2 linked regions of the Caenorhabditis elegans genome follow. The protein of the gene in region 2 purifies or fractionates together with the protein of the main gene of each other region. This does not show direct contact. Each region holds a gene or a part of one and is shown on either strand. Other genes may lie near its edges. The genes, in order: faah-5 and C35E7.11.

Evidence for each region.
Region 1: the proteins of C35E7.11 (region 2) and faah-5 fractionate together in Caenorhabditis elegans (co-fractionation; one large-scale study listed by BioGRID). This does not show direct contact.

What each region holds. Positions count from the first base shown.
Region 1 is NC_003281.10:11,885,850-11,893,370, forward strand, and holds faah-5 (Amidase domain-containing protein), read right to left. Parts: upstream 5,587-7,521; coding exon 5,479-5,586; intron 4,743-5,478; coding exon 4,547-4,742; intron 4,494-4,546; coding exon 4,374-4,493; intron 3,341-4,373; coding exon 3,255-3,340; intron 3,203-3,254; coding exon 2,489-3,202; intron 1,486-2,488; coding exon 1,167-1,485; intron 1,056-1,166; coding exon 667-1,055; 3' UTR 636-666; downstream 1-635. Other genes in the region: Y56A3A.41 (RRM domain-containing protein), read right to left, coding at 6,323-6,659, 6,712-6,916, 7,096-7,123.
Region 2 is NC_003279.8:10,842,731-10,846,613, reverse strand, and holds C35E7.11 (Glutamic acid-rich protein-like), read right to left. Parts: upstream 1,843-3,883; 5' UTR 1,827-1,842; coding exon 1,757-1,826; intron 1,715-1,756; coding exon 1,637-1,714; intron 1,236-1,636; coding exon 994-1,235; 3' UTR 642-993; downstream 1-641. Other genes in the region: C35E7.2 (Reverse transcriptase domain-containing protein), read right to left, coding at 2,234-2,346, 2,392-2,451, 2,757-3,491, 3,785-3,877.

The sequences.
Region 1 (7,521 bases), on a different chromosome or scaffold from region 2:
AGTTACCTTTGGTGGTTAAACCAATTAATTTGTAAAGAACATTTTCGTGATATTTTCATTTGTTTGAACTACATAAATTAATACTTTAACAAGCTTGTTGTCAGGCCCATTATGGCAGTTTTATTGGGTTTCAAAGATTTATTGCCTTAAAATGGGGTACTTTGTCATATCAGTTAGCATATTTTTAAAAAAACTGGAAAAAAATCGTGGAAATACACCATTAATATGTCGTAGTTCGACTGATCTACTATAAAATATAACTATTCCTGCTGAATATTCGTATTTTCAACCATTTTCTGAAGCGCAAGTCTTTAATTTCTACGTATAGGCCAGAACAAGCGGGCTCCGCGGAGTTTCAACATGAAATCTGAAAAAGAAACCTTGAATAATAGGAATTGTATACTATTTTACTCGCATTTTTAACGATTATAGTTTATTTCACCCTAAAATGACAGGTTAATATGTACGTCAAGGTGTCTCATTTCGACTTGATCTACGTTGATCTACAAAAAATGCAGCAGAGTTCACGACTGATTTCGCATGATTAAGAACGTGCTGACGTCACATTTTTTGGGCGAAAAATTCCCGCATTTTTTGTAGATCAAATCGTAATGGGACAGCATGGCACCACGTGGGTTATAAGAGGAAATACGAAGCAATTAAATATTATTTCTTTGGAGCAATCTTCTTCTCGAATCTCTCAAAACACTCGAAACTATCCCCATTCGTCCAAATCGTCTGATTCTCCGACTTCCACCTCAACACCTGAACTCCTTCACTGATCTCCTCAACGATTCTCATCACTTTCAAACACATTTCCTCTTGATTCGGAAGTGCTACGATTTGAACAGAATTTGGCATTCCACTCGTCTCTTTTATTGCTGCTGCCTGAAGTTTTAGCACAAAATCCCCGTTTGTCTCGAATTTATCGTTTTCTTTTTCACGGACTGGAGCTACTGGGACAACGGCGGACGGGCAGTCGAGCATGTTGAATAGACCAGTTATGAAGGCTCCAGTTGTAAGAAGGACCGGATATTTGAATGGTTGGGCAGGGGCTGAAAATTTAACGAATCTAGCAGGTTCCTCGCCGTTTGATCTCCAGAAAATCCGTAATTTTTGAGATCAAACTGCTAGGAACGTTCTCTGCATTCACTTTAAATACTTACTGATAAACGAGGGACAAATCAACGCATCGATGCCTAATCCCTTCCAATATCGAATCCACTTCATTTTGTACGAATCCGTTTTCTCCTGATTCTGCCGAACACACGCCGGATCCGAATTGTACGCCTTGCCAAGACACAGCACCTGTTTTGATTTGAGCGGAGTGTATTGGGCGAGTGGAAGTAAGACGTGTTGGGCGAGCCAACGAATCACGAATACTTGTTTGTAACGGACGAGCCGAATGAAGTGGGACATGTAGCGATCGTATGGCTCGCTGCCGTACATTTCAGACATGTACTCTCCGTTGTCAGGCATCACGTTCTGGGGAATGAGCTGTTGGAAGGTTATAGGCTTTTGGCTTTTGACTCATGTGCTGAACAGCAATTCGCCAATTTCGGAAATTTTCATTTTGGGCAAATTGCCGATTTGCCGTTTGCCGAACATCAATTTGCCGGAAATTATTAGAGGGATTTTTTATTATTATTTAGGAGCATTCATAGGATGCATAAAGTTTTGCAGATTAAGATTGAAATTGTGAAACTTCCAGAAAAAACTCCGCAAATCGGCAAAATGCTGGAATTGGAAATTTCCGGCAAATCGGCAAATCGGGAAATTTGCCTATTTGCCGGAAAAAACGCAAAACCACAATTTGCCAATAAATTTTCGGCAATTGCCTTTTTTTCGGCATATTCACAAATCGGGAAATTTCGCCAATTTGCCGGAAATTTTCAATTCCGGCAATTTGCCGATTTGCCGGAAATATCCAATTTCGGCAATTTGCCGATTTGCCGGAAAATTTTCAATTCTGGCAATTTGCCGATTTGCCGGAAATTTCCAATTCTGGCAATTTGCCGATTGGCCGGAAATTTCCGATTCCGGCAATTTGCCAATTTGCCGAAAATTTTCAATTTTGCCGATTTGCCGGAAATTTTCAATTCCGGCAATTTGCCCGATTTGCCGGAAACGCTCAGTTCCGGAAATTTGCCAATTTGCCTATTTGCTGGAAATTTTCAATTCCGACAATGCGCCGGTTGCGGATTTGCCGGAAATTTTCATTTTGGGCAAATTGCCGATTTGCCGTTTGCCGGATATTAATTTGCCGGAACTAGAGAAGAAATTCCGCCACATCGGCAAACCGGCAAATCGGTAAATTTTCCGATTTTCAATTCCAACAATTTGCCGATTTGCCGGAAAAAATCGTTTGCCGCTCACCCCGGCGTTCGGCAAAAAAAGACTCAAGCTGAAATCAAGACTAAAACTTCTGATACCGGGAGTCGGGCCAGTAAACCGGCAGACTATTGACTATCATAACTTCATAACTTACTCTGAATAACATATCGGCCACAGCGTGTGAATGAAACTTTGTATCAATATCATTCACTTTAAATTCCTTAACTTCATAACCCAATTCCTTCAGCTTCCCAATAGTTTCCTCAACTGCTCGCTGATTCGATGGAGACACTGAACAGAATCCATCATCTACAAACCATCCTATAACCGGCTTCCGCTTATCATCCGAACTAGTGTCTAATAACGGGGACAATGAAGAATACGGTGACATTTGTTGATATTCCGGCTTCCCAATGACCAGCCTCAACAGGTATTCCTGATCTTCCACATTTCGAGTAAAGAATCCACAGCTGTAACCAAGCCGTCCACGTCCAGGAAGCCCGGGGTGCATCTCACTCTCGTGAAGTCGATCTTGAGTAGGCTTCAACGACACCAGCCCGCAAAATGCTGCAGGGATCCGAAGACTTCCCACCAGATCGTTGCCAATTCCAAATACAGTACCACCGGCTGCAAGTAGAGCAGCCTCTCCACCAGACGATCCACCAGGAGTACGAGAAAAGTCCCACGGGTTCTTGGTAGTTCCATAGACTGGATTAGAAGTGATATAGGATAAAAGTCCCTGTGGAAGGTTTGTCAAGCAGAAAGGGATGGCTCCTTGATTCTTGAGAAATTTGACGAGCGAGCACGTGGTGGTCTCCCGTTGCTCGAGAAGGCTTGCCAGTCCGACGGTAGCCTCGTAGCCAGTCACCTAGAATATAAGCTAGGTTGCTAAGATCTTAAAACAAGTTAGAATCCCTCACATAGAAATTGCTCTTCACAGAAAACGGAATTCCAAATAGCGGGGGTTTCGGTTGCTCACGATATTCATCGTCAAGTCTTGCAGCATCTGAAACACGAATTTAAATTCTTTATTACCTTTTGACCTCCAAAAATTGCGTCAGACAAATGTGTCTAAGTTTCCCGCAATTTTTGGAGGTCAAATGGCAAGGGGTCCTCAGCGTCGAAAGCGCATAAAGTTGCTGGCGCATTTGGCGCGACTTTGAAAAATCCAGATTTTTCTTCTAATTTTGACTTATAGCACGTAACGTGATGCCAGGCTTACGGTTTGATCTACAAAAAATGCGGGAATTTTTTCGCCTAAAAAAATGTGACGTCGGCACGTTCTTAACCATGCGAAATCAGTGGAGAACTCTGCCGCATTTTTTGTAGATCAACGTAGATCAAACCGAAAAGAGACATTCTGACACCACGTGGCACGTGGAGTCAGAGAGTTCCATTTCGCTTTGATCTACGGAAAATGCGATGCGGGAACTGAGAGGTAGGCATCTCAACTGGTTTCGCATGGTTAAGAGTGTGCTGACGTCACATTTTTTCTGGTAGAAAATTCCCGCATTTTTTGTAGATCAAACCGCAATGAGACTTTCTGAAACCACGTGTTATAGCAAATGTGTTCGCAAGTTTAGAACTACAATTCTGTGCATCTAAAATTTTCTGAGAATGCGTAACATACCTGACGAGCAAAATATCTCGTAGCGAAAACTGCAGTAATTCTTTAAATGGCTACTGTAGAGCTTTAGAGCTTGTGTCGATTTACGGGTCGATAAGTGGTCTACACAAGCGCTACTGTAGCCAATTAAAGGATTACTGTAGTTTTCGCTACGAGATATGTTGCGCGTCAAATATGTTGTGCAATACGCATTCTAAGAATTATGTGTTCCCCGTGATCACGTGGTTCCAGGCTGCCCACTTGCTGTTTGATCTACAAAAAATGCGGGATTTTTTGCCCAAAAAAATGTGACGTCAGCACGTTCTTAACCATACGAAATCAGTTGAGAACTCTGCCGCATTTTTTGTAGATCAACGTAGATCACGCCAAAATAAGACACTCTAGCACCACGTTGAAACTATTTGCTTCATACCTGTAAAAGCTTCCTTAATAACTTCAGTGATGCAATTGATCTTCCGATTTATCTTTATTGCTCTCCAGACATACGCACTCAGCACTGTGTAAGCGTTGAACTTTTCGGATTGAAGCGCCTCTTAAAAAATTGGGAATTGGGCTTTAAAGTTTAAATTTCCCCTTACAAGTTACCTCTCAAAGTGGGAAAATCCATAGCAAGTACTGTCTGAAACGTTTTCTCAATCTCATCAGCATTCTCTTTCGATCCATTAATCCGTTCACTGTGCAAAAGTTTCGATGGAAGAGTTCTGTTCTCAAAGTCCGTGAATGCGTCGGCTTGGCGGACACGGAAGTTTCGGATTTTACGATTTCGCGATGGTTTTCGGCACTAAAAGTATAATGTTTAACGGCAAAATCGGAATTTCCAAAGCGAAGCTCGCCTAAAGGTCAGGCAGGTAGGCGCACGTGGTGCCAGAGTGTCTCATTTCGGCTTGATCTACGTAGATCTACAAAAAATGCGGCAGAGTTCTCAACTGATTTTGCATGATTAAGAACGTGCTGACGTCAAATTTTTCTGGGCAAAAAATCCAGCTTTTTTGTAGATCAAACCGTAATGGGGCAGCGGTTTAACTTTTGCCATTATTTTCGAAAGTGTCAATAATTTACGTGTCGAAAATGGATTTTCTACATTATTTCAAAAGAAACATCGTGAAAACCTACAGAAAAGCACATTTTAAAAACAAAAAAAATAAGGGAATCGTTTAAATTTCCAGTTGCGATTTTACAAAGGAATTCTCTCAGTTTTTCCGTAAAAAATGAAATAATTAAGCATTTTTATGCTTGTACCACAATTCAACTTGCGCGTCAAATATGGTGCAACCAACTCAATGCATCACATTTTACGCGCAAGTTTAAAAAACCACAGAACAGCACGTGGTGCCAGGCTGTCCCATCACGGTTTGATCTACAAAAAATGCGGGAATTTTTCGCCTAAAAAACAGTGACGTCAGCACGTTCTTAACCATGCTAAATCAGTTGAGTAGCCTGTGTCTCGATTCCCGCATTTTTTGTAGATCACAACGAAATGGGACATTCTGACATCACAAAACAGTCGATACGCTCACCTTTTCCAAAAGAACTTTTGGAATTGCATACATAATAAGAAATGGAATACTTGCTAGATAAAATATGAATACTAAAAACCCGACGAACACTTTTGCAAGGCAACTCATCACTTTTTCAGTCAGAGTTTTTTTTTCCGGAAAAACAGCAGATTATATATTATAGATGGGGGATTTATTATGAATGGGGAACTAATGTGTTATTCGAGTGGGCAATTGTAGGTACGATTTTGTGTTAATTCCTTGGAAATGGGAAGAGAGATTCGGTTCCTTGTGAGAAAATATGTAGGAGAATATGAGGCTAGATTAATAATTTATTAGTCAAAACAATGACAGCAATAACAGTTCTCTGTGCATAAAATTTCAGTGATGGGTCCTGACACATTTTAGCTACCGTGCCCTTATTTCCTTGCGAAATGGTCTCGCCACGATCTCTGTTATCCGCCACACCACGATATTACACAGTTGCGCAATTTCAGACAGGTATTATGGGAGCGCAAAAATTCTGAGAATACGTACTGCACAACATATTTGACGCGCAAAATATCTAGTAGCGAAAAGAAAACTACAGTAATCCTTTAAATGACTACTGTTGTGACGATTTACGGGCAGCAATTAAAATTTGAGCAAAAATAAAAAGAAAATTCATTTCAAAAATCGAGCCCGTAAATCGACACTACAGTAGTCATTTAAAGGATTACTGTAGTTTTATTTTCGCTACTAGATATTTTGCGCGTCAAATATGTTGTGCAGTACGTATTCTCAGAATATTGCGTTTCCGTAATATTTTGAGTTGAAGCAGTTTATGCGTCTTTAAGTACTGAAAACTGTAGTTTTTTGTGAGAAATTATTTTAATTCGAATTTATTTAAGCAAAGTTTAGCAAAAATAAGCGAAATTCCGGCAAAAAAAATTATTGACTTTTGGAATTTTTTCTCGCTAAAGGGTTTCACAATTGCGATCAGCTTACGCCCATCCCATTCGAATTCATTGGCATTTTCAGCGAAATCAGCCGCACTGTGGTGGTCGTCGAAAGTGAGCTTGGCCGTAAGGCATGGAGACTTTACGGTGCTCATACAAATGCCAAAAAACTTGCCCAATCCCACGCATTGAGGGAACAACTTGGGGAATGACACATCTTCGGGAATGTTTCCGAGAATGATTGTGGCAGCTCCATCTGACTTTCTGAAAAAAAAACAATGAAATGCCTCTAATTTTTTGTAGAAATTAGACTTACTCGTTGCCAAATTTCGCAATGAGTAGAAGCGCGTGTGCGTGACCAACACATTTTCCGATTTTCACAAATTCTTCGCGATTCTTTTTATACTTATCCACATCCATCTTCAATTCATCGAGAACAAACAAGATTTCATTTTTAATGAAATCGACGGGAGACCAATCACGAGCTAGAGCCTTTTCGAGAAGCTCCGAGTAAGCTGCCACTGAAATAAACAGTTTGTATAAAATAATTGCTCCGCAGGCTAAATATTCTTTGCTTAAAGAATATTAGGCCTGTGGAACAAGTGTGAGATCAATTTGAGGATGATTTTCTTTGCTTAAAATTATAAAATGACTGATAGCATCTCAAATTCAAAAGTTTTGTCGATTTTATTTGACTTACATTTAATCTTATCCTCCATTTTGGACATGGAAAATGAAGAAAATTAGGACGAGAATAGAAAATTTTAATGAGAATTGATTGATGAAATTTTCGTTGCGAGACCTTTTCATTTTTTGCAAACGCGCTCCACTGGACGCTGGACGCTGCAAACGCGCTCCGCTGGAATTTAAGCGCCGAACATCGATTTTTTAAACATTTTATCGATGTTTTGCTATTTTAACTGGTGAAAATTGTTGAAAATACTTGAAGAAAGGCGAGAAAAATGTGGTTTTTGAATTTGGTGCAAAAATAATCTCAAAATTTACATAGTAATCATCATAATTTTAGCAATTAATACTTCCCGGTTTTGTTTTATATGAAAATATCGTTAAAGTCAAGCAAAAATGCATTATCTTATCGAAAAAGAATAAAAGAAACACTAAAATT
Region 2 (3,883 bases):
GGGTTGATGCTCTACTAAGAAAAAATATGGGTTTTTTTGACATGTGGAAATTTTGGTTTAAAACAAGGTCTGAAAAGTTTCAGCAGACTGCTCATAAGGCAATTTTTAATTTCGGAGTAAAATAATTTAGCTGACATTGAGGGCAAAAAGTAATTCCTATTTACGTAAACAGAGATAAAGACTGATAAAGGAAAAATAAAAGAATAAAACATGAGAAAGGGGCCTTCGACCAAACAATAGAAACAATTGAAGACTGAATGACTACATTTTGTGTTTCCAGATTGTTGTGCGCTCTCGGACGCTGGAAAATATTCCAATAATTAGAGACACAATAGGAAATTGAGAGACATTGATGTCTAGAGTAAATATTGATTGGTTTTTTATGGGTGGAGTCTGGAGGGAGTGCATTAACGATGTAGATGGGAAGGAATGTATTTTGATCGATCGGAAAGTTTACGATTCTTTATTTTTGGTACATCTCTATCTCTTCACGATATTCTCCTTTTACAACAGTCTACCATTTGAGACATCGCCTCCTCTTACAGCACCTGTTATAGTGTGACAATATGTAAGAAAGTCCTCTTGTCAATTGACCTAATATTCTAGACATCTAATGATCTCAAGAACATATCGAATGTAGGTTAGCCAATATCTAGTTTATTTAAATTTTAACTCCAGAACAACCAAAAAAGCTATAGAAATCGACATTTGAAGTGTAAAAATGAGGGAAAAATGGTTTAGAATAAAAAAAGAACTGTTTGCGAGACGTTGAAAACTGTGAGCTATTTGAAAATAATAAACAAAAAGCGAGCAAACTGAGCTTTTTGCTTGAGCTTGAGCTAAAAAAAAAGGTCCAGAAAAAACAAACAAACATTTTTTGAGATTTTACGATTCATACGCTAATATGATGATAGATGAGATCTTGAGAATAAATGGAAAGATCTAGTGGTATTTGATTATAATTATAAAGAGAATCTTTAGACAATTTAAAATCTACTCCTCGTCATTTTCTTCCTCATCAGCCTCTTCTTCTTCTTCTTCCGGCTCATTTGGTTGCTCCTCACTCTCGGCAACTTGCTCATCTTGAGCTTCAACTTCAGTGGAACCCTTTTCCTCAACAACGGATCCTCCATTGGCTTTCTTGAGCTCTTCCTCGTCGTACGTGTCGTCTTCAATGAGCTGATGAACTTCTTCAAAGGATGGCTTCACCTTCTTTGGTGGTGGAACTTCGATAACTGAAATTTTATGCTGATATAAAAATATATGTTGTCTGTATTTCTTGATTTTTCATTGAAAATTAGACGATTATAATTATTTTATGAGATATTATAGTAAAAATATATCAACAAAAAATTTTGTCAGAATTTTCTAAAACTCGCCAAACATATTTTTTGAGTAATATTTCAATAAAATAAATTGAAAACTAATTCGAAAACATTGGCGACGTCTTGCAAATAACAGAAGAATGTCGTATATTTTAGTTCAACATAGAAAAATTTCGGTAAAAACTGAAATCACTCAAAAACTAAACGGATGAACTTTTTGAAAATTTACCAAAAATAATTTCCAGTTTGTTCTAATAAATTTAAATGCATTCCGAGTTTGTCTGCAATTTAAATATTCAAACTATACTAACCATCATCGTCGCCTTCTTTCCCCTCAGCCTCTTCAGCGACCCGCTTTCTAGTCTCCATCGACTTTTCGGAGGAACCTTCTGAAAAAAAAATTATCAGGGTTTCAGATAAATTTTCCTCACCCTCACTGAATGGGCACTCGACTTCCGGAGATCTTGGCGGAGAATCTGGAACTTCGACGATCTCGGACATGGCTGGTTTGCAGTTGCTAAAAATGCTTGAAAATTTAGTTTAAAAAAAAATAAATTAAAAGTGAAAAGTAAAAAGCAGAGATTATAAACTCTTTAAATAAGTTTAATTTAGTTTCCCGGGGTTATTTCCCAGTTGTATAACTTTTTATAGCAGGACGAAAAAGCAGGAAATTCAAGTGAAACTAGGATACTATGAAAGGAAAGGTAGCTGGAAACGTACAGTAAAAATGGGGTTTCTATGTGTAATTGAGGATATGGAATCGTTTTGTCACAGATTTCCATATGAAAACCAGAAAATTGGGGATGAGAACACAGGAAGAAGATAAGAAAAAACATGCACAATTGAAATCAAAAGATATAGGAATTTCAATTTTTGAGAGTAGTTTGATTGAGTTTTGGGGTAAAAAACTATTGAACGCGGTTTTTGAGTGACTCGACAAGAACTTTCATTTCTCGATCCACGTCCTCATCATCATCATCAGCTTCTGAAAATTCGTCCACATCATTGCCGTTCTCGTCGCCTGAAACTTGAGAATTAAACTGAGATTTATCATTTCAATTCTCACTCTCTGATTCTTCGTCTGGTTCAAGGAAGTGCAGCTTTTTCGGCTTTTTGAAAGTAGTGTCTGGAAATATAGGGGCTTATACTTTTCTGGCGAGCTTATTTTCTTGGTAGCTAACGCGCTTCTAATCTTTTTTCGCCGTTATTTTTTGAGCGCTAAATGCCTTTTGATAGTTCCAAATTTGATTTCTGTCCTGTTTGAAGATCAAAAGCTTCAAGCTCAAAGCATCAAGGATCCCTTAGAGATCGTATAGTCGTCTGCACGTGATTATACTTATACAAATTTCTGCGACAGAAGGTTGAGAGTGTGCGAGAAAAAGCTTGCGGGGTGCTCTAGAAAGTTGAAAATGTCTGACAGAAACAACGTACCTTCCAAACCAGACAATTGTGTCCTTACATCGGAAACTTCTTCTCTAAGCTTATCAAACCGATCATTCGATTTTTTCAGCATTTCCTTTTTATCAGTTGAACTTGGAATTCGGGGTGAAGGTGGGATCACTCTGTTATACTTTTTAGGACCTTCTGTGAGACGTCTTTCTCTTCTTGGTGCGATTCCTCTTTGCGCGAGTATGAGCTCTGCGATGCTTTGCATTGAGTTGGCTGTCATTTGAGGAGCATTTGGAGCATGAGGTGCTTGCTGTGGAAAGGTTGAAGGCATCGGATGAATCGGGTACGGAAACATGCTTGCGGCACTGTTAGGCGGCTGTTGTAGTTGTGATGAGTGTAGACTGCAAACTGCATTTCCAATGCTTCGAATTTCATTGGCCATATGCTGCATTTGTCCATTTTGCATAGCTTGCTCATGCTGCAGACCTGATATTTGTCTAAGCAAGTCTGATATCGTGTGATTGAAATATTCCACTGGAACATAATGAGGTTGGGCAACACGGTGAGTCATTTGTGGGTGTGGTGGTGCGGTAAACTGTTCCTTTGGTTTTTCAAAATCGATTATCTGCTTGAACAAGTTGTCCTCCATATTACACAATTTTTGGAAAACTTTCAGCTCAATATCATCAAAATCCTCCTGTGCATCTTCATATTCGGAATTCTTTTTGTAAGTCGGGTGGTAATCCGGATGCATTTGATTGCGTAGAGTAGGTTTTCCTTAAAAATATTCATTGCGACTTTTGAAGCCAATTTCTTGCTCAAGATTTATCAGAAAATGTTCAGTTGGTTCAGAAATTGGCTACAAATATAAATATTTAGCAAATTAGTTGCATCGAAATAGTACTAAACGAATATGTTTGAAGCAGATGTTCAGATTTTTAGATTTGAAAATTAATTATTTTTACTCAAATTTTTAATAGTTCTACGGGGCTTCTATGGTAGACTGAAAAACAATTAGCTTAACCAAATTTTCTACTCTACTCTACATTGTGATCAGTTCAATTGATTACCTTTATCAGACTCAAGCCATGCGTCTGTAGGACGCACGTTGTTCTCACAATCCTCACATCTGTGATCGATCAAGTCTTTAGGAGTCACGTTCTCTGCAA